Linked DNA regions of Stegostoma tigrinum. The protein of the gene in region 2 binds, or shares a complex with, the protein of the main gene of each other region. Links are inferred from orthologs where the notes say so. Each region holds a gene or a part of one and is shown on either strand. Other genes may lie near its edges.

Region 1 (7,784 bases), on a different chromosome or scaffold from region 2:
AAGGACTGACTTATACAGGAATTGCAAGTATTTGGCACGTCTGGGAGTGGGGGCTACATAGAGAAAACTGCTTTGATACCTGCTTGACTGGATGCTTTATGCAACACGGGTAACTAACTGATTGCCCTGTAGAAGAATTTAAGGAGGTAATCATAGGAAAGCCGTGTCTTGCCAAATGTAACAAGGAACAAAGAAATTACTTTTGTTAAGGAATCCAGCTGCAGTCTTGCAGTAATTTGGTGAAAGGACATTTTAAGCAATATCAATCAATATATCACCTCAGAGACTGAAGGATGAATATCTGCATAAGAATCAAAGACCAGAACAACTCAACAGCAGAACTTAACAGAACAACATTACAGAAGGACTGAATCCTGGAGACTTCCAGAGACAGACCATTTTTTGGTTGAAGTCCTGGCCAGATTTCATCATTAATTCAGGTAATCACTAAGTTGGATCGCAGGCTTATACTTGCTTACTTAAGGGGTCTTGTGTTTAGTTGCAACGTGCAATAAAGTTTGAATTATTGTTTCAGTACTTGATTTTATATGAGATTTCTTTAATAAGTAGCTGAAATGTGGTGACTTACCCACAGCACCAAGAAGCTGAGAGTGATCTTGGGTTGTGTGTTCAAACATTCTTGAAATTGGGTGTAGAGGTTAATAGGGTGGTTTAGAAGACACATCCTGGTCTTTATCAGTTGAGGTGTAGATTATATGAGCAGGGATGTTATATTGAACCTGTACAGAACTTTTCGTTAGACCACAAATAGAGTACCATGTGCAGTTCTAGTTGCCTCACTATGGGAAGGATGCAATTGCATTGAAGAAGGTGTGGCGGAGATGCACCAGAGTTTTGCCTGGGCTGGAGCATTTCAAAGAATCCCTGTAGCGTGGAAGCAGGCCATTCACCTCATCAAGTCACAGCAACCCAACATTCCACCCAGGCCCACCCCTCTTACACTACCCTATAACCCTGCACTTCCTACGGCTAACTCACCCAGCCTGCACATCTTTGGACTGTGGGAGGAAACTGGAGCACCCAGTGCAAACCTGTGTAGACATGGGAAGAATGTGCAAATTCCACTTGGACAGTCGCCCGAGGGTGGAATCAAACCCATGTCCACTGCTGTCTTAACTACAGAGCCAGAGTACTGCTCCAATTTCAGCTACAGAGAGAGGCTGGATAAGCTCGGGGGTTCTTATTCTGGAGTAGAGGATGTTGACAGGGGCCTGGTTTGAGGTTTACAGGATTATAAGGGGCATGGGCAGGGTAGGTAGAAAGCTGCTGTTCCCCTTCGGTGAATGGTCAAGAACAAGGGGGTACACTTTTTATGTTAAAAGGAAGTATTTAGAGAAAATGTTTCTTTCACCAGAGGTTGGGGTGGGGTCTGAAATGGGTTGCCTGTGAGGTCATCTCACAACCTTTTTTAAAAGTACATGGATGAACTATTGAAATGCCAAAACATTCAAGAATATGGACCTAGTATGCTAAAGTCATCTTAGTGGAGGTAGTGGTGTAGTTTTTGGTGATGTACTCAATGGGCCAAAGGGCCTCTTCTGTACAAAGATCCTATTATTCGATAAGCTTGAAACAATCCAAACGTACTCCATGATTCAACTGGAAAATACACCAGTGTCACTGCCTTCATCAGTGGATCTCGAATTGGAATCACTACAGCAAAAGAGGGAAAATAGGCTAACTCATATTCTATACTATATAGAACGGACATTAACAGAAACAAATGCCTAGTGCTTTCTGACAATGACAAACCACAAGGGAACGATCCACACAAACTGCAAAGACATCCCCTTTTGCAAGATGGTATACCAACAACCTATTTTCCCCACAAGGGCAACCTCACAATGGAACAAGCTGCCAAAAGAAGTAATCACAGCCCTTAGTGCTTGAATCTCGAAGACCTACGTTTAGATTAATAATTTCATTTTTATTACCAGGGTTACCATCTCAGCAATTGAGGCCTTGATTAGCCAGAGCTACCCATTTAAACATTGGTACAATTAGTCCATGATGATAACACTAGTAAAGCAGGAACAGTGGACCTAAGATTAGTCCCTTAGTGATTGACCCCGTTGTGAAGAAAGGATGACATTACCAAACACTAATAAAGTGAAACATTGCTTTGGGATTAAAAATAGGGTTTTTTTTTTTACTGGAGAGCAGTTTGATATTATCTAGTTTCAAATTCCGCTGACCTGGTCCCACTTCTCTCCTGCCCTCCTACATGGACTGGCACTATCATTTTATTTAGGCCATTAAATAATTAGACTGGTAAGTTGTACTGGCTTACTTTAAATGGAACAGTGACCAGATGAGTTAATTCTCCTCTCAATTGATATTTACAATTTTAATTTCATAAACTGTTGTTGGCTTGGGCAATAAATATGATTTGGCTTTCCTAAAGTCAGTAATTATTGCTCAGGATGACCACTTCAAATTCAAAGAGAACTTACCCTATTAGTAGGGATGTTACTACGATATGACATTTTGACTAATTTATTCAGGAATCAGCAGTCATGGACTGTAATACTCCCTGAAAACATTGGGTCACTAAAATTTACTGGGATTGGAGGCAGTGCAGAGAAGGCTCACTAAGCTGATATCGGGTATGGAGGGACTTTCACATGCAGAGAGGTTAAGTAGACCTGGGCACTACATCTTAAAAAGGATATATTGACCTTTGGAGAACTGTTGGCTTACAATGTAGGTTTACAAGAATGCTACTCGGACTTCAGGGATTGTGAGGGGAGGTTAGACGAATTAGGCTTGTTTTCTCTAGAATGTAGAAGTCTAAAGGGTGATCTTATCAATGTCTTCGAGACATTAACCGGAAAAGACAAGGTAGACAAAGATAAACCATTTCCACTTATCAGGGTTTCTAGAACTAGGGAACACAGACTGAGAATTAGGGTTACACTGTTCAGGAGTGATATTAGGAAGCTCTTCTACAAACAAAGTGTGGTAGATATTTTGAACTCTCTTCAAAAGGGCAGTGGATACAGAATCAGTCAGTCGAGATAAAAAGAAATTAATAAAACTGACCAGATTACTTAAAAGTTGCACATTATTTCACAGGCAAAGATGTGGATTCACCAGTTGCTTTTCTGGAAATGTTGATCAGGGTCACCTGTTTAGTTCACTCAGGTGCAGGTAGTAATACTTCTAACTCAACTTTCTACTCTCTGGGCTTTCAAAAACCTGATCTGGAAAATCAGGCAGGGCGCTTTCAAATTTTCATGCGGTGCTATCAGTAGTAAAACTCTTCTCCCAGAACAAAATTTTCAAAAACTTTGGATCCACCTTCATAGGCAGATTGTCTTTTCACTCCACCCTCTCGTTTATACTAAGGGATTCCCGATGCAAACAGGAACCCATTTCCAATCTCTTCAGATGCCAACAACTTCCTATTTGCATCACTTGTTTTAATCAGAATTTCAGGATTTGTAATATTTTCCTCTTGTGCTGTAATTTTAAAATATTTGGTAGTCTGATAAAACTTTAATTAGCATAATTTCTACACAATCACCTATTATCAGGGGAGACAGTGGCATTGTGTGATGTCACTGGTCTGATAATCCAGAAGAGCTGATTAATGTTCCTGGGGCTTGGGTTCCAATGCCCACCATGATAAATCATGAAATTAATATCTGGAATTAACAGCAAGCCTAATGGTAACATGTAACCACCAACAATTGTTGTGAAAACCCATCCAATTCACCTTTTATTGAAGGAAATCTACTATCTTTGCCTGGTCTGGCTTACATGTGACTAATGTGGTTGACTTTTAAATGTCTTCTGGGCAATTAGGGATGGGCAATAAATGCTAGTTGAGTCAGAGATGACCACATCCCATGAATTATATTTTTAAAAATGTAAATACTCCACCCAATGTCTAAGTCAACAAAGTTGTTCAGACCATCCCTGGTCACTGATATATTCAAACTTGTACATTCAATTAAAATATACACCTTTTTTAAAATTTATTTTGTGGATTTGAAATTGTAAAGGAATTTTAAGGACGATTGACAGTTTTCAGATGCTGTGTTGCGTATTTGGAAAACTAAACCATGTGATCAACTGGCTGATCTATTTAAGACGTCAACTGAGTCATGAATCTCTTGAACAGCTAATCATTCCAAACATTCCTGAGACACACAAAATATCCAATGTATTTAGTTGTTAGATTCCTTACGTTTCTTGTAATAAAGTGCAAAGTTACAGTGACTATAAAAAGGCTCTGTCGAAAGGTGTCAGTAAAAATATTCAAAATGACCTGTAACCCTTTAAATAGATTATCACTTAGCCACTGAAGCTGGATTAGTTTCTCAAATCCTCAGTCTCTCAGAGCCTGACTTCAGCCTCCCATCTGCATTCTTCCTGGAGCATTCAGGTATGTCTGAATTTAAACTCAATGTTCAAATGTTGGCATTTTACATGCAGATAAATGTTTCAGATGTTCCCATTCCAGCATATGTTTGGAATTAATTGATTTTCAGAATTAAAAGGCTAAATAACAACCTGTAATGAGGAATTCGTGATGTCATCTGTGTGACAGTTCAAATTGTTAAACTTTGCAAATATTATACATCTTCTTTTATCTGAGTAAATCGAGTATGGATTTTGGTGCTGAACAAAACAGAAAGTGCTTAAAATAGTCAATAATCTGGATTTATTTGGAGAGAGACAAACAGTTAGCATTTTGCTTTGAATACAAGTCTTCTTTCAGATTATATTCAGTTTAAAATATTGACTCTGTTTGCATTTCACAGATGCTGTCGCACCTGCAGAATATTTCCATCACTTTTTCTGCTTGTATTTTGGATTTCCAGTATCTAGGTTATTTTTCTTTTATTTCAGATTTTAGTAGTTCTTTGCATATGATGAAATTGTGTTTATAAACTATCAGGAATTACTGAAAATTCTCAGAAGTTGGACATCTGTAGAGAGAGAAATTAATAGAAAGGTTCTGATGAGAGGTCATTGACCTGAAACATAGGGTGGAATCTTGTTGACGCAGTGAATCGCTTGTCAGCTGAATAGAGGGCCAGTAAGAGACCCTTGCTGTTCCTTCCTCTTTTAAGTGACGTGTTTTTAACAGATGCCAACAGGAGTTCCCAGAAGAACTGGTCATATGACCAGTTGGTGCACTAAATACAAGGGTATTTCTGCAAACACTCCCCTTTTGGTTAAAAAAAAGAAACATGAACACTATCATTTGCAGTTATAAGTTATCCAAGTTATCCGGTATATATGTTTAACAATGAACGTTATCATTCACGAAGGGACCAGGATGCGTTAACTCTAGTCAGTTCAACTGCCATTAGTTTCTACATATATAAGTAATCGGTACATTGAGTAGATCCCTGCTTCCCTAACCTGTTCTTCCTCTCACCTATCCCCTCCTCCTACCTCAAGCCGCACCTCCATTTCCCACCTACTAACCTCATCCCGCCCCCTTGACCTGTCCGTACTCCCCGGACTGACCTATCCCCTCCCTACCTCCCCACCTATACTGTCCTCTCCACCTATCTTCTCTTCTATCCATCTTTTGGTCTGCCTCCCCCTCTCTCCCTATTTATTTCAGATCTCATAATTGTTTGTTTGGGCATTGCCGATGGCTGTTCTTTTGCCTGCTCATTCTTAAGGTGATGTTCCTTCACCAGTGAGTGTTGATCCCATATGGTAGTGTGTGGTAACTGTTGTTACTAATCCATTTCTATTGCTGGGGAACAATGAAACTCCAGGGCTGAACGTTGTCCTGTACTCTGTGGAGGTGATGAGATCACTTCTTCCTGGTTTGCTGCCTGTAGTAAAGGTGTTTGGTCTCCAGTTGTATGCATGTATCTGCGGCTATTTTGACAAATCTCGTTGTTGATATTCATTGTGTGTGATCAAGTTAAATGTAGCTGTCCACAAGTCCCAATTGGCTATATGAACTAACCATTGTTGAGAATGTTGAATGTTTGGACTCTGACTGGCTCTCCAATGCTCAGTTCTGGCAACTACTTGGCAGTTTTATTAAAATGAATTTTTGCTTCCTGTCATTTCATGTTTATATTATACATATTACTGCTTCCGGCATTGATAGTTTTATTTCCACTATTGGAAGGATAATTTGTGTGTGTTGTGACATTAGCCTTTAGACTCTGCTCAAGGATTGCCTTGTACAAGACTGCGCCAGATTTACTTGATTTCTTTCTGATCCCTTTGTCTCGGCCTTTCTATTTGACTGCGGATAGTGTACAGCCAATGTATGATGGTGAATTTCACAATCCTGTAGGAAGCGAATGAATGTTTCAAGCATGAAATGAGGGCCGTCATCACTCATCACAATGTCTGGAATGCCATAACAATTGAATTGTATTTGACAATCTCACTGTTTGCTGTTGACTTGGTTAGTCTTTTTTCCAATAATCAGAATAATAGTCAACAGTGACAACATAAGTAATTCAGCCAGCTTCATCCCTGGTCTGTCTGGGATGTCGCACATCATAAGGATCGCTTGTGTATCACTGGCTGACATCTGTATAAGCTTGCTTTGCTTTTTTTCTAGCTCAACACTTGTGTGAAAAGTGATTCCAGTTTCTTGCAGTTAGGGTACTAATTCCCCCACATTGAACATTCCTCCCTATCTTTTGTGTGAGTAATATAAAATCATAGAATCCCTACAGTGTGCAAGTAGGCCATTCAGCTCATTGAATCCACACTGTCCCTCTAAAGAGCGTCCCACCCGCCTACCCTTTCCGCAACTCTGCATTTCCCATGGCTAACCCACCCAGCCTGCACATCCCTGGACACGATGGGTAATTTAGCACAGCCAATCCATCTAACCTGCATGTCTTTGGACTGTGGGAGGAAGCAGGAGCATGAGGAGAATGTGCAAACTCCACGCAGGTGGTTACCTGAGGGTGGAATTGAACCAGGTCCCCGGCGCTGTGAGGCACCAGTGCTAACCACTGCGCCACCGTGCTGCCCATGTATGCACGTTCTGACATCTGTCTGTTACTTTTCCACTGGCTTTTCTGCAACTATTTATCCTTTATTCCCGAAATACTTTTCTCGTTTGGCCTTGGACGTCAATCAGCTTAATTCAACCCATCATCTGTTCTCCCATTTATACGCTGTAGCTAATGGTTCACAATCTCAAAACTGCTGCCATGCCGATCACTTTTTTGTGAGATGTTTCCCCTCTCTCAGGACATGTGCTTTCACTGCAGGATCTTTAATGCCTGGCTAGTCCTATCTGTGATAAGATTAACTTTTAGTTGTCCAATCTCAATGGATCCAGCTATGTGTAACAGTATGGTCACATACTGACCAATTGTCTCCATCTCCCTCAAAGCTCTGAAATTCAACAAATACCAAACATAAGTAGTATTAATATGGGGTTCAAAGTATGTTTTGAAAGCCTGCATAATCTCTCCTATCTGGCTTTTCTGCTCCTCAGTGAGAACTAGGCTATAATGCAACTTGTTGTTTTCTTTCCTCAGCAGTGATAGCAGGGTTATTCTGCTTACTTACTCAGATTTGACATTACTCCTACAGCTACTTCATAGTTCTGTCACAGAGAGTGCAAAAAGGTTCCAATTCTGTGTCATGTATAACACAGCATCCTCTGATGCTGCCTGGCCTGCTGTGCTCCTACAGTTCCACACTGTGTTATCTCGGACTCCAGCATCGGCAGTTCCTACTGTCTCCAATTCTGTCTCATATCTCCTTTCACTTCCACAGCACGCAAGGTGTGTCTCACCCAGCCATTCAAA
Region 2 (8,255 bases):
GTGACTACAGACAGCCACATGATTTACTCTTAACTGCCTTCTATGCAATTAGGAACAGGCAATAAATGCTGGTCCAGCCAGTGACACCCTCATCCCATGAATGATTCTTTTTTTTAAAAATCATTTCAAGCATTTCTTCTATGTCTCCAGGTTAGCTCATACATTTGGAGATAGCAAGAACTGCAGATGCTGGAGTCAGAATCAATACGTTGTGGATCAGGAGGAACACAGCAAGTCAGACTGCAGCAGAGGAGCAGGGCAAATACAAAATTCCGGATGATGGGTGTAAACCTAGAATGTTGACTTTCCTGCTCCTCTGATGCTCCTATAGTCCCAGTTATTTATAGCCTCATCTGATTATGTAACTTAATAATGTTAAGCCTAAAATACCTCATGGTTTACATCAATATTACTTAATACCTACACAAGATCAAGATCTACTGGAACCTGTTGGTAAGTTGTAAGATTCAATTCTCATATGTTAATTATACCCTACATATATGTATAATATATGTATGGAATTGCAAACAACGATATTCATCATATTGTTTACTGATGTATAATAAATCGAAAGTTCAAACACACATGCATCCCATAGATGACCATTTTTATTTTGAAAGAAGTGGTCAATTGTCACTCATGGAAATTCATTCATTTGCTCTCCATCTCCATGCTGCCATCTACTGGGACATCCATGGCCTGATTGTAAAGTGGGCTTTCTAAATATTTCATTCACGTGTCAACAAAAATGCACATCACAGCGAGATTAACGTTAGTCATTTACACAAGTTGAGCAGCTTTTCAGCTATTTACAAAGTGTAAAAGCATTATTTTGTTTTATGGTTTACTTTTCATGTACTGTTCCTACTAATGATATTAGGTTTCTCAAAATCATTAACAGGAAAATTGCAGGAGTGCATCATCTTTTGTTTGACAGTCATGCAGTTCTGCAAAGAAAGTGTTATTAATAACTTCTTACAGAAGAATCTTAATGCTCTGTTTTTGTCAACAGGGATTTCATGCCAGTCATTGACAATGTATCTGCAAGTGAGTCACCTGATAGACCGAGCAGTGATACCGAACTTTATTCTAGTGACTAATCTTGGGAAATTCCATTCTGCATTTTTTCACTAGTGAATCATTAATACGAACGGTCACATCTTAAATCAGGAACACTACGAATGCAAATTATACAGAGCAGTGCTCTTTTTTGAGTTCTAATAACTCAATATTCTTCGAATATTCTACGGTTATAATAACCGTAGCTGCGCTCCTATTGCCTTTGAAACGCAATGCAAAACGTAAAGCAATAAATCACAGCAAGTATTTGACTCCGTAGATAGCATCCCTGCCTATAAAACAGAAACGCCAGGTTTAAATGTTGACATGGAAGTGGTGTTCATGTTGCAGTTCAATAGGTGATAACCACTCAATTACACTTCCAACATTTCCCCACTAAAGTATTCAATACGAAATGAAAAGCATGCAATGATATGGAAGAAACCACAAATTCGCCTTTTCAGGAAATGTAAAGAGTTGCATAACAGCTGTGTTTACTATTGAATGTTTTTTCTACATCTGCACTGACCTGGTCCCTCCATCTACTTGCCTGTTCCAGCTCAATTCTGTGTAATTTCAGACCAGTGATCTCTGTGGCCCTGGGAAGACTATTTCCACTGGTACAGGAAGATCTAATCTCAAGGCTGTGTATTTCAGTTCATGTTGGGCCGTCTTCAAAGTGTTTCGTTCAGCTGGTATTTATAAAGTAAAACCTACTTTTTAAAAAAAATCATCACTAAAAACGTGCGGTACTGAATATGAGTGTTTTTGCCACTTTAAATGCCTGTGTGAGTATTTTCGACCAATGCCAGGGAGAAAGGCTATATTTAATTCATCCCAACAGTCTACAGCAGCCACAGCAGTTGTGGAAAGCCTTGCTCTAAAAATGCGTGTGATTCACGAGGACAACCGGATTAAACCGAACTCATCGTTCTTGCGAGTTCACACAGAACACGTGCTAGCTGCAGCCCACTGTTTGTGGGCATGTGGCGAGGTTAAGATCTGTGCCAGCTCTGGCTCAGATCTGCTTTGCAGCCACCTGTCACTTTGGTGCCGTCACCTAAAACCGGTGCATTGTGCCTGTAAGGGACTGAGACCCGCTGCTGACAAGCCCCTGGCCCCAGCAGCGTTCACACACACACAAACAGACCTAAATAAATACCCTCGGAAAGAAAGCTCTCTACAGCTGACCAGAACCACAATTCAACAATCGGTAGTTAGCTTAAACCTAGCCCGCCCCGAGCCCCAAGCGTACTTGGGACACATTGGGAACAGAAGAACCTGATTACGTCCAGCTAAATGATTATCTTATTCGTCCTGGCCACAATTACGGCCGTAAGCAAGGCAAACTACAAACATCATGGGTCCCAAATAACGTGCTGCACGTCGTAGCTTGAAGAAGACGCCGCATCTTCCGCCACAAGTTACATGCATTTCCCCACACACGCCTACCTTTCTGTACACCAGCATGTTCGGCGATTCGTCTGCCATGCCGTTGTTACTGGCATTCTGTCCACAACTATTTCCTTGAGCCATCGCAAGATCTGTCTTCAGCTGCCTTCGGACTTTCGACTTTTCACTAAGCAAGAAAATGAAATTAGAAAAGATAAAGTCAGGCGCCACGTTAGTACAAGGATTGAAGTAGCCGCAGATGTCAAATCTGGACATAGCAGAGGGCAATGCACATATACCAACACAAGAGGGAGGAGGGGTGCAGGCAGCACTTCGTGTAAACTTCGACTCTAAATCCCTTTATGATTTTATGACCGCGGATTTGGAAGATAAAGCCATCACAAAAGCACATGCGATCTTTGCGCGGAGCTATGCCTACGACAAGGCATCGCAGAAATGGAAAGCGCATGAGGATAAGCCATCCAAGCAGTTCTCAATAAAATGCACAGAAATGCGCGCAAGATTGCAAAGAAAAATGTGACCGGGATTGCACGGCAAGTGTACATTCAGTGCACGTTCCCCGCGTTGTACCGTTAGGCGACTGCATGCAGCGGAGTCTCCTCAATAATACCTCATTCCATCAAATGTTTTCATGCAGCCTTGGGTGTGGGGAGGCTGTGCATTCAGATGCAGCGTCGGGGAAAGGGTGCACAAGGTTGGCGGATGGGAAAGAGCGGCCAGACTGAGCCCTGAAACAGGTTCAGTACCACAGACAGCAACCAGGGCCGGCCACAGTGGCCAGCTACGGAGGGATACTATCTACTGCACCGCGTCTCACGGCTTAAGGCTTTGCTTTCTCCTTCTCTTCCCCCTCTCGCTGTCTTTTGAAATATTCTCTTTTCTGTTTAGAAAAGGCTAGCGACGACCCCCGTACCGTGATTTACCTCAAGCTCGGCGCACTGCACACGCCAGGAGCAGAAACCTCCTTATTATTCTTGTAATGTTCTTATCCGCTCCAGATCCCGGCCTCAGATGATTCATTTGAAAGGGCTTGCGGGTGGTTTAGCACCGAGGCTCGGCTTTCCTCCCGCCCCCACCCCCCCTCCCCCCAACTCTCTCTCTCTCTCTGTTATCCTGTCTGTCTGTGTCTTTCAACCTTGTTCCTGGGAAATGTGTTGCAAAGCGAGCCCGCGCTCCACGCTCCCCGGGCGCGTTCTGGGGAGATGGATAGGGGGCGGGGCGGGGTGCGCGTGACGCGCTCGGGCGCGCGCGCTCCTGCAACCGGGAGCTGAGCCGCGGCGATGGGCCAGCCCCCTGCGAATAATGTTCGTGGGGCTGGAGTTTCTCGCAGTCCGCGCGGTGTAGCGTGTCTTGAAACTGCAAACAGCAAGGTGACCCGCTCCTGTGAGATAAAATTCGGCGCACTTCCAGCTGGGGGAGGAGGTTGGGCGGCACGGTGGACGTTGGTGACTGGGAAGGGAGAGGAGATTTCTGATGACCATGAATGCGGCGGCGCGGAGAATGGGCTTGCAAAGTGTGAGAGCAGGGTCTTGAAGATTGTTATAGCCAAGTGAGGTGGGGTTCGTGTTAGAGATGCTGCAACTGAAACCTACCTCACAATTTTATGATCTCTCTGCTGAGAGAGTCACTCGCCGTCCTGCTGATCAAACTCACCCCAGAGACTCTCGGTCTCCGGTAAACTGTACTAGAAATCTGGAATGTTGGAGGCGTTACATAAATGCATGTTGTTAGCATCAAAAAAGATCTGTAAATAAACTACAGATTTAGTTTATTTAAAAAGCTGCTGCTTTTTTAAAGTTCAGTGGCATTGCCGACATAATTCTGTCAGTGACACCCCAGCCAAACCACATGCCTTTCTCTCTGCCTCTTCCTCATCGACTGTATCTCTCATTTGCCTGTCTGCCAGTTGCTTAAGAATCTTTACCTGAATCGGGATGGGAACCCTGTCCCACTGGAAGGGGTGAACGGGGAATATGCAACGGCATGAAGTTAAGATGGGGGCGGGGCGGAAAGCAGAAGTAGGGTAAACAGGGTGATTTTAATCATGACAAGAAGTATCGATGGCAAGGTAGTGAGTAGAACTACAAGGTGGGAAATTGAAAAGCTTGTTAAACACTAAGTGAGTGGAGTACCGATCCCTCTCTGCAGCAATCTCTCCTGTTCACCATAAAACAGGATGTAATTGTGTGAGTAGGAACCAAAGTAAGGATTGAAGGCTTACGGGCCTGCGAATTAAGTAGACAGAATAACGCCATCGTAGCAATGGCGAGATGGCAGCAACGTTAAATAGTTACTTAGCTTCAGTATGTATCGGGGGATAGAATAAATGGGCATAACTTTGTGTGGAAAAATCAGTAATGAGGTAGCACTTTCAAAATAAAGGGGTGTATTAAATAAACTAACCTAATACTTGTGTGCATTGCAGTTGTGTTTTCTAAATGTGGGTTCTTTTGGTGTTTACGTGTGTGCGAGAGTAAGCCATCATCTGGTCTAATCAGAAGACTCCTGTGGAGTAAACGAGATATAGTTTATTACATCTCAATAATTATTTACAGGTTGTAAGGATAGGCTGCACGTTAGTACAAAGAATTGTCACTGATGAGATCCAACTCTAATCTTCCACCAAATCCTCATGGGATCATAATTGTGGGTGCTGCTAATTGTGTTCAATCAAGCGTTAACCCTTTCAGCCAATATGTAACATCTCTACCAAACCTTTTTATTGTAGCTATTATTGTTATACATTGTTATATAATAACTTTTACTATAATTATCCTATCAGTAACAGCAAGTCTTACAAACTGAGCCAATTTGGAGGTTACACTATTCCCTTAATGTGTTCTGTTTAGACCTGCAAAGATGGTCTGTGATTCAAGGTTCTCTTCTGAACCAGATTTTGTTTTCTTTAATCTATTGTGTTTCTTCCATTACAGACATCAACCCTGCTACAGAAAATTCCTTTATTCTTGAACTTTAGACGTTTCTTGTCTTTTCTTACTGGTGTCTTCCATGGAGCTGTATGCACCACAACTTGAATTAGTGTCAGTGGACTTTTGTTCTCAATCCACATGTACTGAAGTAGAAAAACTTTCCACTTCATATGGTTCATTCATTTTGATTTTCTTATTTGCCCTCCGTGACTCAACCATTGGTGAAACTATTCTGTTCACTTCCTGAGTTGCATTGCTTGAAGGTTACTTTTTGATTGCTCTAATATCCATTATGGTTGTTGAGGATTCTTCTTTGGAAGATATTCTACTTGAACCTGACCTTTCTTAGTCAATTCAGCATCTAATGTGTAACTTGGATTCATTGTAATTAGTTGTTCACTTTGTAGCATTGCAGTCTGACTCAAGTCAGCTACTTGAATTGTCTTGAGAGGTTTGTACTGTTCAGTTGTCACCTCTTGTTTGATTTTCTTTCTTTTGTTGATTACCCCTTCTAGCTTTTAAATATAATTGGGGCCAACTTAGAATTCCTGGTAATGAAGTACATATACGTTTTCTAGAATTTGTTGCCTTCTATGTTGGAGAGGTGCTCGTAGCATATCTTTAGACCCTACAGTTGAAGTTCTGTCAGCTGTTGCAAACAATGTTCATCAACTAAAGCCCAAAATCAATACTATAATACGTTCTGTCATGTCAAACTTGAAATTCGTGAGCCATTCATTGACATAAATGTCTGCTTTCCGAAATATTTGGTCTGGATGACAGTGTACTTCAGGAAAATTTTGGTTTTGACTTTTACTGGAAATTGTTCCACCTCATTTATCACTTTGTTTGGGTATTTCATTGGTCTTTTCCTTTTCTACGGCTGTATCCTACTTTGACTCATTTTCTAAAAGTTTCTTATGTTTTACAGTGAAAGCGTTCAGTTTTAACAGTTGGACACTGTTGATGCCTGTGAAGTTTCTTCGCTCCATGGCATTAAGGAAATACTTTCAGTGATTGGTGTCTGTCCTACCTGCTGTAAATCACTTATAGTACTCTTTTTGACTTCTATTCTGCAAGGATAGCACACTGATTAGGAAAGAAGGACCACAAGTAACTGGATTAGATTTAATCTAACAAAAGCACTCTCCAAGGTTTAATTTAAAGAGGTAAACCATGGGAACAGAGCTCAAAGTCTTGGTTTGCTCCTCTTGCTCAATTTGGCAGGCTGGGGACATTCTGAAGGGGGAGGGTGAACAGACAGTGGTCGTGGTACACGTTGGAACTAACAACATAGGTTAAAAAAAAGGGATGCATTCCGAAAGGCAGAATACATGGAGCTAGGAAGAGCGTTAAGAAATTAGACCTCAAAGGCAGTGATATCAGAGTTCCTACCGGTGCCACATACTAGTCAGAGGAGAACTGACAAGATACACTGGATGAATAGGTGGCTGCAATGTGGTGTCAGGGGGAGGGTTTCAGATTCCTGGGGCATTGGGACAAATACTGGGGGAGGTGGGACCTGCACAAATTGGATGGGTTACACCTGGGCAGGACAGGGACTGATGTCCTGGGGGGACTGTTTGCTAGAGCAGTTGGGGAGGGTTTAAACTAATAGGCTGGGGGCTGGGAACGTGTGTATAAATTCAGTGAAGGAGGCAGCAGGGACAAAAACAAAAACTAGAAAAAGGAATAAGAAAAGCGATAGGCTGAGAAATCAAAAACAAGATTCAAACAAGGATATTGAGAAAAATAAGGAGGAGACAAACATTAAAAGGACAAGCTTAAAGGCTTTGTGCCTTAATGCATGGAGCATCTGCAGTAAAGTGGATACACTAATCATGCAGATAGATACAGTATAACTGGGATTACAGAGGCATGGCTGCAGGGTGACCAGGGATGGGAACTGAATGTCCCAGGGTATTTAGTATTTGGGAAGGACCAGCAAAAAGGAAAAGGTGGCGGAGTGGCATTGCTGGTTAACAGTGAGAAAGGATATTAGCTCTGACAATGTGGAGTCTGTATGTGTAGAGTTGAGAAATACCAAGGGATAAAAAAAATTAGTAGGTGTCATACTGGAATGGTAATATCGAGAATGGCATGAAACTGAAAATTAGAGATGCATGTGAGAAGGGAATATTGGTAAAAAAAAGGGATGCATTCCGAAAGGCAGAATACATGGAACTAGGAAGATGGGTGATTTTAATCTGCACATGTATTAGGCAAATCAAATTAGCCACAATGCTGTAGAGGAGGAATTTCTGGACTGTATATGGCATGGTTTTATGAACCAATATGTGCAGGAACCAACTAGAGAGCAGGCCATCTTAGACAGGGTGCTGTGTAATGAGAAGGGAATCGTTGCAATCGAGCAATGCAAGACCCCTTGGGGAAGAGCAGCCATAACATGATGCAATATTTTTATCAAAATGGAGAGTGAGGCTTTTGACTCAGAGACTATGATGCTGACCCTTAATAAAGGAAACTACAAGGCGAGAGTAAAATAGTATCAGAGATAATGGGAACTGCAGATGCTGGAGAATTCCAAGATAATAAAATGTGAGGCTGGATGAACACAGCAGGCCAAGCAGCATCTCAGGAGCACAAAAGCTGACGTTTCGGGCCTAGACCATTCATCAGAGAGGGGGATGGGGAGAGGGAGCTGGAATAAATTGGGAGAGAGGGGGAGGCGGACCGAAGATGGAGAGTAAAGAAGATAGGTGGAGAGAGTATAGGTGGGGAGGTAGGGAGGGGATAGGTCAGTCCAGGGAAGACGGACAGGTCAAGGAGGTGGGATGAGGTTAGTAGGTAGCTGGGGGTGCGGCTTGGTGTGGGAGGAAGGGATGGGTGAGA
Region 3 (8,479 bases), on a different chromosome or scaffold from region 2:
GAAACTGCTTCTGGGCAGTGCCTGACTGAAGAAGCTGCATTGAAAGCAGTCTCCTAGAGCTTTTGGTCAAGGACTTCTTCCGTTAAATTGCTTACTTCGAATTTGCTGTAGAGCAAATTCATTCCCCTTTGTAATGGAGCAAAACACAGAGTTTAACTTCAAAGTAAGTTTAGTTAAGAGTCATTGCAATTAAACTACCTGTCATCAAACTAAGACTGTTCTTTGATGTATATGTCAGTTGGGTATGCGATTTATTTTGGCGACGGAGGCAGGAGGACGGGGATAATCGAACATATTAAACTTGTGTTAAAAGCAGTCACAATACCTGAAAGCTCTAAAACATCAAAAATAATTTCCGAATGAAAATTTGTTCCTCTATTCCACACACTATCAGCAATTCGCAAACCAAGAGGTGAAATGGAATTTCATTGACAGGCACCGTGTAAGCAGGCTCACTGTCATAGAAACTTCTGGCTCTCATTGCCATCGTCTAGTTTCAGTGAGCCCTCGCTTCATGTCCAAATTCCTTTGAGCAAATAATCCACTGGGGATAAATATCACTTTAAATCGCATTAAGAGATAATGATGACAGTTGTACTTCAAAATATTGTGAAAATGCAAATATAGCGGTGCCAAATCAGCTCAAACTATGTTCACGATCAGTGGATGCCTGAAGCGGCACAAGCGCCAATTTCACTTGGTCTCAGTTGACCCGCGACTCTCAAGCGAGCATTTTTTTAAGGAATTTCGAGCTACTTTCAGATTGAACCTCTCGTTTAACTTTAACGGCCTTTTGCAAGGCGCATTAATGTTTGTGGTTAAAAGGTTCGGGATTGTAAAGGGGCGGAGAATGGGAGCGGGAAGAGGGGTGGCATCAATTTTCTCACAAAGCGAAAATTCATTTCTTTGGAGATGCCGAAACTGACTCCTGGGGCGCTTTGCAATCTGGCGAGTGCGTCAACGTGAAAATGAATCAGTTGTGTTGATCAGAATACGTTACATTACAGGGGGAAATACAATTCCATTGCAGCGAGGGGAAAGCACCAGTCTGGGTAAACATGCGAACTTAGAGAGCGAACATCATTGTCCGGCACCTTGGCAGAAACCTAATAATGCAATTATGAACCGAGTTTGGTCCCTATCCAGGACTGATCCCACCCTCGGCAGCTTGCTGCAGGACATTGAGACACTGACATGCATCACACAGAGACTAGGACTCTGCTGCTAATGGTTTCAACCGAGTTGACGTCATGTGAAGGAACCCATTCATATCTGGAAAATATAGCAATAGTAAACAGTCTGCCAAAGCGTGCAAGTTCAACATTAGCCGTGTTATTACGACAGGATCAAACGAGCCACCCTGCTATCAAATTCAGCATCTACCGTCTCCACAAACCCTGGACCTGGCATTCCCTCTTCTTCCAGGAGATAAACAACGCGCTCTTATTTTACAAATGCAGAGGAAGGACATGTCATGATCCCCAAAAGGTTTCCCGCTGAGCCTCTCGGACAGAATTTAACAGCATCTTCACTTAGACAGACGCGTCCGAGTTCTCCTGTGGGACAGTCATCTGTGAGCTGTCCCCATACAGGAGTGTCTCTTCTCACTGTCTCTCGCTCCGCGTATAAAGGGGAGCTCACTTCGAGAACACTTTCTAAAAAGGTTCTCTTTTGTTTCAATTTCCAAAAACTGCTAACATGCACCAACATGAATGTCACTACCACCCCCACCCAACCCACGACCCCCGCCCCCAGCCCAACCCCGGTGCGGAACAAGCAATCAGATCAAACACCTACTTACGTTCTTATATCAGAGAGAAATAGGCAGCCTCGCAAACATGAATATAGTATTTAATACAGTGAAAGGCGTGTTACAGTAACCACCTTGGTTATACGAGTTAGAAAATTTGGGGATTAGTACAGCTGGGGCCGACAACTGACAGAATCTTGCTCCGAAATGACCCGTGAGTTCGGACAGCCAGGCGGTGCTCACCTGAACTCGGGCTGGAAATCCGGCTTCAGCCCATAGAAGGAGGTGGAGAGGGTCAGCAGCCACAGCGGGCTGTACTTGCCGTGTTCACATTCCAGGTAGGGCGCCGACCACTTGATGTGAGTTTTATCCACCAGATACCTCGTGCCTCTCCTCCTGGGGCTGGCCCTCAGGTCGTCTCTCAGCAGTTTCCTGTGAAGGGAAGCCTCGGCAGAAGGCTGATACTTCAGGCGGTGAAACCACTCCGTCTCGATGGTGTGGTTTGCCAGGTGGCGAGCGCTGGCCGAGAGATCCTGGAGGAAGATTTGGTTGTCTATCCGGGTGGCCTGGAGGAAGAGCTGAGGAGGGGATGTGAACGGCTGAACATCGAAAGTCACCACCGCTCGATGGACTTTGGGATCAGCCTCCAGAATACTCCTGACCAGGGCGTGATACCACTCGATGTCTTCCTTGACGGTCAGCTCCCGAAGCCCGTTCGTCTGTAAGATCATGTTTAAGAAATTGCTGGCATGGACGACAGTGTCCATGGCACTGTGGAGTGACGGGTGGATGTGCATCGGGTGAGAGGCCTCTTTCAGGTTTGACAATTGGTACCTCTTCGTGCAGTTAGCGTAGCCAAGCTTTGAGGGATCCCCGGTGTGGAGGAAAGCCCAGACCGGAACGGGCAGGCTCTCGTGATGGGATGAATGCGAGCTGCCCCCACCGCCACCGGTGTCGGCTGCGTCCGGGAACTGGTGTCTCTCGTAGACGGGTCGCTGCTCCTCATAGGTGTCCACTTTCTCCATCTCTGGCGCCGTGCGTCTGCCCCCCAAGCCGGGGATCGAACCAGCCATGACTCCGAGCTGGAGGATTAGAGGCAGCCAGAAACCTGCCATCTCGCCTGCCGAGCCCCCGGGCTTACCCCAGACCTTCACTTCCCCCACCACCAAACGCCGAGCCCTTTCAAGTCAGGCTGTGGCAGCAAAGACAGGAACGTGGAAGCGGGGCGCCAGGAATCAGGTCATCTCGACATCGCCTAAGACAGTCCCAGGGAAACCCATCGCGGCGGTGCTGAGATGTCAGCCCCCGGGGTGAATCTCTCTCTCTGTCTCTGGATCCGCAGCCCCGGCTCACTCACTGATCTGCTGTTTCTCCTCTCACTTCCCCATGCCAGTCGACTGCACAGCCGCCGCTCTCGCCAAGCGTCTCCTTCAGCCTCGCAGTATCTCCGCCACCGACAGCGACTCGGGCCAGAAGTGCTCTCCGTCCGGGTGACTTTCCCCCGTTCCCATCGCCCGCCGGAGGATCTCTCGCAGCCACTTTTGCAGCAGGGGAAGGGAAGTGAGTGCAGCCAGCGAGCGGCGAGGACACTGTGGGTGAATGGGTGGTCTGGGGGCGGGCAGGGTGTGGGGGTGTTATCACCAGGACGCGGTATCCAGCGTACACTTTCCCCGCCCTGTGTGCAATGCCCAGTGAGTCTGCCCGGACGCCGCCGGCCCAGACACGGAGCCCCGCCCCTCCCCTCCTCGCCCCGCACCACCCGATTGGAAACGCCCCCGCCCCGCCTAGTTCTCCGATTGGTTGTTTCCCACACGGCCCGACGCGTCATCGGCGCACTGCCGATGTTTAAATGGTGCGAGAGCCTGTCAATCATGGAGTGTGGCGGGGCGTCCGTCACCCATTGGACAAAGGTGTGTGCGGGGGCGAGGCTCAACGCTAAGGGGGCGGAGACTGATGCAGCCGGGCTGCCCTAAGTGGGCGGGGCGCGGGGGTTTCCGCCCGCAGGTGTGGGGCCTTGAGCGTAGTGGGCGGGCCTGGGTTGGATGGGCGTGGCTTGTCACGGTGGGCGTAACCAATGACGGTGGTGGGGCGGGGTTTGGCGGAGGAAGTGTGGTGCCCTCTTGTCGTTATCCTTACTCCACCCGGCACATTGAGGCCGAGTCTCGTTTAAGCGAATTGGGGTGGGGGTCGAGGGCGTGTGGGGCTGACAGGCGGAAAGCCCCCGGGACACGGATCTCTCTGGGCCGACTCCCTGAATTCCCTTCGTCTGCAACCTCCTGTGCGCTGTGTGCGACGCTACTTTCAGCTTCCATTTCAGCTTCAACTCATAATAAGATGCCAGACCCTGCAGTGTCCTATTTGACCAATTATTTTATCGCCCCGAAACAGTTTAAGCACGATGTTGCTCTTTTTTTCCTTTCAAAAAAATGCACAAATGAGCTGCGATACGAGAGGCAACTCTCGGTTGGTGCTGAAAGAACAGCGCCTCGACTGTGATCCGTAGCATTCAACAGTGACTGACCTCGGAGGCTCGCGTTGTGGCAAGTCTCCTGAATGCGGACATTCTTCGCAAAACCCGTCGCTGTTCATTTCTTATCGCAGCAAACTGTGCAGCCCTGAAAGATGGAAAATGTCGACTATAGGCAATCATTCAAATTTAACATGTTGCGCAAGAAATACAACTTTCTCTTACTCCGTGATAAGAAATCAGTCATGACATTGTGTTTTAGCTAAACAATAACCTGAGTTTTATAAATCATCTTCGAACGCTAAGCGACGATCATTAAGCAGTAGTCACAGGAATACGATGATTTGAGACTATTAAGCAGCACACTTTGCTCAAGTAGGTTTAAGTACGAACTTGTGGATATAATACTACATACTGTAAAGGTTCATCATTCAAACCAGGGATAGTAGGAACTGCAGATGCTGGAGAATCTGAGATAACAAGGTGTAGAGCTGGATGAACACAGCAGGCCGAGCAGCATCAGAGGACCAAGAAAGCTGACGTTTTGGGCCTCGACCCTTCCTCAGAAATGAAGAACTTTCTAAAGAAGGGTCTAGGCCTGAAACGTCAGCCTTCCTGCTCCTAACAAGGTGTAGAGCTGGATGAACACAGCAGGCCAAGCCCAAAACGTCAGCCTTCCTGCTCCTAAGGTGTTGCTCGGCCTGCTGTGTTCATCTAATTACTAAAACCAGTTGGTTTAATGAAAACTCAAGCCTATATTAGTTAAATCATATTATGTACAGCTGATGTGATAGATGTGATTGAATGTGGGCTGCAAAACAATTTTTTTCCTTTTCCTTTCAACATGTTCAATCAAAAAGATAATAAAAGGTTTTTATTTATATAGCGATAACAAAGTGTCGAGCTGGATGAACACAGCAGGCCTAGCAGCACCTTAGGAGCAGGAAGGCTGGCGTTTTGGGCTTGGTCTGCTGTGTTCACCCAGCTCTACACCTTGTTATCTCAGATTCTCCAGCATCTGCAGTTCCTATTATCTCTGATACAGATTTTTATATAGCCTGCTGTACGTTAAACAACTTTTTTTAAGTGACATTCAGTAAAAGAACAGCTCAAGGCATAAGGAAACCAAAGATTTCAAAGGAATTGTGATTTTTTATTTAAAAGCTCATGGAAAGGCTGGGGTAGAAGATTTAGCAGGTTATATGATACTGTCCAGACACTGGAGGCGAAATGAGCATGTTTCATGCACAAGTATTCTGATCCTGTACGTCTATCTATCCAGAAATGATTGATTATAAAACCAGATGTAAATACTGTGTTATATCATCACATCATCCGGGAAGCATGATAACCTTCATATTCAATGGCATTGCTATTGTTGTATACACTGGCCTCACCATCAACCAGAAATTTAATTGGACTAGCCACATAAATAGTGTGGCCCCATGAAGAAGTCAGGCACTGGATGTTCTGAGCTGAGTACCTCACCTCCTGACAACCAATGTCACCTCCTGACTTTTCCACCAATAACAATTCTCATGCCTGCAACAATATCAGCCAAACACCATCTCTGACAAAGGACCCATTTTGATAAGCTCTCACTCCCTCAATGAGATGGCAACAGTGTGTACCATCTACAAGACACACTGCAGACCATGCCATGGCTCCATCCACATGCTAAAGGCACAGCATCTAGCATTCACAATGACAAAGGCAACAGGCACATGTGAATACTCACTTCCACATTTTCATTTAACCCATTTTCTGATGAAGGGTCTAGCCCCAAAACGTCAGCTTTCCAGCTCCTAAGATGCTGGTTGGCCTGCTGTGTTCATCCAGCTCCACACCTTTTTATCTCCATTTAACCCTATCTGGACATGGAAAATTACTACTATTGCCTAGTTGCTTGGTCAAAGTACAGAAATGCAGACTGTAGTAATGCAGGAAAACGGCCTACCACTAGCTACTGATTGGTAATTAAGGATGGCAATCATACTGATATTGCCAGTGATGCTCACATCCAAAAAGCAATTTTAAAAAGTCTAGCTGCACATCTAGCTGCTGCCATTTATCTTCATCCTGTCCAGCTGCAAGTTGAATTTAAATAAGATCACAAGTTTTGTTTATGGCCAGAGATAATGGGAACTGCAGATGCTGGAGAATCCGAGATAACAAAGTGAATGAACACAGCAGGCCAAGCAGCATCTCAGGAGCACAAAAGCTGACGTTTCAGGCCCATACCCTTCATCAGAGAGGGGGATGGGGAGAGGGTTCTGGAATAAATAGGGAGAAAGGGGGAGGCGGATCGAAGATAGATAGAGGAGAAGATAGGTGGAGAGGACAGTATAGGTGGGGAGGTAGGGAGGGGATAGGTCAGTCCGGGGAGGACGGACAGGTCAAGGGGGCGGGATGGGATTAGTAGGTGGGAAATGGAGGTGCGGCTTGGAGTGGGAGGAAGGGATAGGTGAGAAGAAGAACAGGTTAGGCAGGCTGGGACAAGCTGAGCTGGTTTTGGGATGCAGTGGGGGGAGGGGGAGATTTTGAAGCTGATGAAATCCACATTGATACCATTGGGCCACGGGGTTCACAAGCGGAATATGAGTTGCTGTTCCTGCAACCTTCGGGTGGCATCATTATGGCACTGCAGGAGGCCCAGGATGGACATGTTGTCTAAGGAATGGGAGGGGGAGTTGAAATGGTTCGCGACCGGGAGGTGCAATTGTTTACTGCGAACCAAGCATAGGTGTTCTGCAAAGTGGTCCTCAAGCCTCCGCTTGGTTTCCCCAATGTAGAGGAAGCCACACCGTGTACAGCAGATGCAGTATACCACATTGGCGGATGTGCAGGTGAACCAGCTTCAAAATCTCCTCCCATGGTGTTAGTGGTAGCTCATTAGCATAGAAAGATGATTGGCTAACTAATAGAAGATAGACAGTTAGGATAAGAAGGGCATTTTCAGGATAATAACGTATAACTAGCACAGTACCCAGGGATCAGTGCTGGATCCTTAATTATTTACAACATGTATAAATGGTTTGGATGAGGTAAGTGGATGCACTATACCCAAATTTGTGAATGGCATAAAGCAAGTGGGCAAAAATCTTGGGGAGATAGAATATAAAATGGGAAAATGCGAGGTTATGCACTGTGGCAGGAAGGGCAGAAGAGGTGAATACTGTTAAATGGAGAAAGGCTGCAGAAAGCTATAGCACAGAAACCATGAAACACAAAAAGCTAGCATTTAAATTCGGCAGATGGAGTTGCATATAACTATGCTGAAACAATGAGAAACTACCACCATTCCAATGCAAAGAAGTATTATTTTAAATAAATGTTGAAAATAATGCTGCGGCCAATTTAACATGGCCAATCTACCCAAACTGCACATCTTTGAACTACAGGAGGAAACCGACAGAAATCCATGCAGACACGGGCAGAATGTGCAAACTCCACACAGGCAATTGCCAGAGTCTGGAATCAAACTCCAGTCCCTGGTGCTGAGACAGCCATGCTAACCACTTTATCTTAGCCGTTGCTCACTTACATTGTGATACATTCAATGAATTGAATATGTACCATCAGACAGATTGGATCAGCTTCTCCTATGGTAGGGTGCCACTAGTTAGATTTACCCTTTGACGTGGTGAGTTTTATACAATTTGCTTGTGAAGTTCCTTAAAGAGTTGATAATATTGCGGTAGAAGGACAAAGGAGATTGGGGAAGACTGAGATCTGAATGAATGACACAAACAAATGCATGTCTCTTTGATCAATCATATTGATGAATGCCACGAAAAACAGTGCAAGGATTGAACAGAAAGTATTCTTGGAAAAATGCAAGAGCTAAATATTGAATCAAGTACAAAACAAAAAATACAGAGAGAGAAAAAAGCATTTTGAAAAATTTATTTCTTCAACAATTTTAAAATCTCAACATAATTAATACCCAAATGAATGAAACTCCATACATTTAATTGTTAATTTTCAGTATCAAAGAGTTTTATTGGTAAGCATTAACATTTCTCACATAAATGACAGGTAAGTTCGACTCTAAATGACGTGATTCAATTCATATAGCATGTTTAATTCATATCTGCCATCCAAATACAGCAGATTCATGCTACTCAATGTTTTTCAATATTGAGGCAGTCACTACATTTGTATTATGCTAATGGTAGACTGGCATAGTCACATCTGGATGCCCATTTGCTGAAGTCGGGCATAAAATGGTACAATCACTATTAGCTACATTTGAGAGCAAA

What was found.
Region 1: the proteins of rgs7b (region 2) and guanine nucleotide-binding protein subunit beta-5 are in contact, whole or in part, in a cryo-EM structure (PDB 7EWP), measured with the Homo sapiens proteins. The link is inferred for Stegostoma tigrinum from reciprocal best matches to the Homo sapiens genes RGS7 and GNB5. Residues at the interface, in NP_001351815.1 of Homo sapiens: Pro19, Leu22, Val23, Lys26, Val30, Ile72, Val76, Glu77, His80, Leu81, Leu84, His88, Val207, Asp213, Ile214, Lys215, Lys216, Leu258, Gln261, Ile262, Trp265, Gln266, Gln268, Leu269, Arg271, His272, Arg273, Leu274, Lys275, Met276; in NP_057278.2 of Homo sapiens: Leu57, Glu60, Ala61, Glu62, Leu64, Lys65, Leu68, Glu71, Lys74, Leu75, His76, Asp77, Val78, Glu79, Leu80, Val83, Leu90, Phe93, Arg98, Arg99, Leu109, Lys117, Arg118, Ser134, Phe135, Trp149, Met151, Leu167, Tyr197, Ser206.
Region 3: the proteins of rgs7b (region 2) and gpr158a are in contact, whole or in part, in a cryo-EM structure (PDB 7SHF), measured with the Homo sapiens proteins. The link is inferred for Stegostoma tigrinum from reciprocal best matches to the Homo sapiens genes RGS7 and GPR158. Residues at the interface, in NP_001351815.1 of Homo sapiens: Gln35, Ile43, Ser55, Arg109, Phe110, Thr112, Pro113, Tyr114, Phe115, Lys134, Thr136, Lys140, Ala141, Arg142, Leu143, Leu145, Ala146, Asp147, Ala150, Leu153, Gln157, Trp164, Phe168, Met169, Gln170, Glu172, Ala173, Gln174, Lys176, Val177; in NP_065803.2 of Homo sapiens: Leu507, Lys508, Phe510, Leu511, Arg513, Thr514, Tyr595, Tyr598, Ala599, Thr602, Val603, Pro604, Ile714, Arg715, Leu718, Lys719, Tyr722, Leu725, Glu726, Tyr728, Lys729, Arg730, Met733, Ile734, Thr735, Asn736, Asn737.

The regions. Positions count from the first base shown.
Region 1 is NC_081386.1:20,114,846-20,122,629, forward strand, and holds the start of guanine nucleotide-binding protein subunit beta-5, read left to right. Parts: upstream 1-4,310; 5' UTR 4,311-4,411; intron 4,412-4,839; exon of another isoform or gene 4,840-4,857; intron 4,858-7,784. UniProt on the Homo sapiens protein: Enhances GTPase-activating protein (GAP) activity of regulator of G protein signaling (RGS) proteins, such as RGS7 and RGS9, hence involved in the termination of the signaling initiated by the G protein coupled receptors (GPCRs) by accelerating the GTP hydrolysis on the G-alpha subunits, thereby promoting their inactivation.
Region 2 is NC_081362.1:75,958,313-75,966,567, reverse strand, and holds the start of rgs7b (regulator of G-protein signaling 7), read right to left. Parts: upstream 3,337-8,255; 5' UTR 3,106-3,336; coding exon 3,083-3,105; intron 2,639-3,082; coding exon 2,512-2,638; intron 1-2,511. UniProt on the Homo sapiens protein: GTPase activator component of the RGS7-GNB5 complex that regulates G protein-coupled receptor signaling cascades.
Region 3 is NC_081355.1:121,448,014-121,456,492, reverse strand, and holds the start of gpr158a (probable G-protein coupled receptor 158), read right to left. Parts: upstream 3,475-8,479; 5' UTR 2,866-3,474; coding exon 1,994-2,865; intron 1-1,993. UniProt on the Homo sapiens protein: Metabotropic receptor for glycine that controls synapse formation and function in the brain. Acts as an atypical G-protein coupled receptor that recruits and regulates the RGS7-GNB5 complex instead of activating G proteins.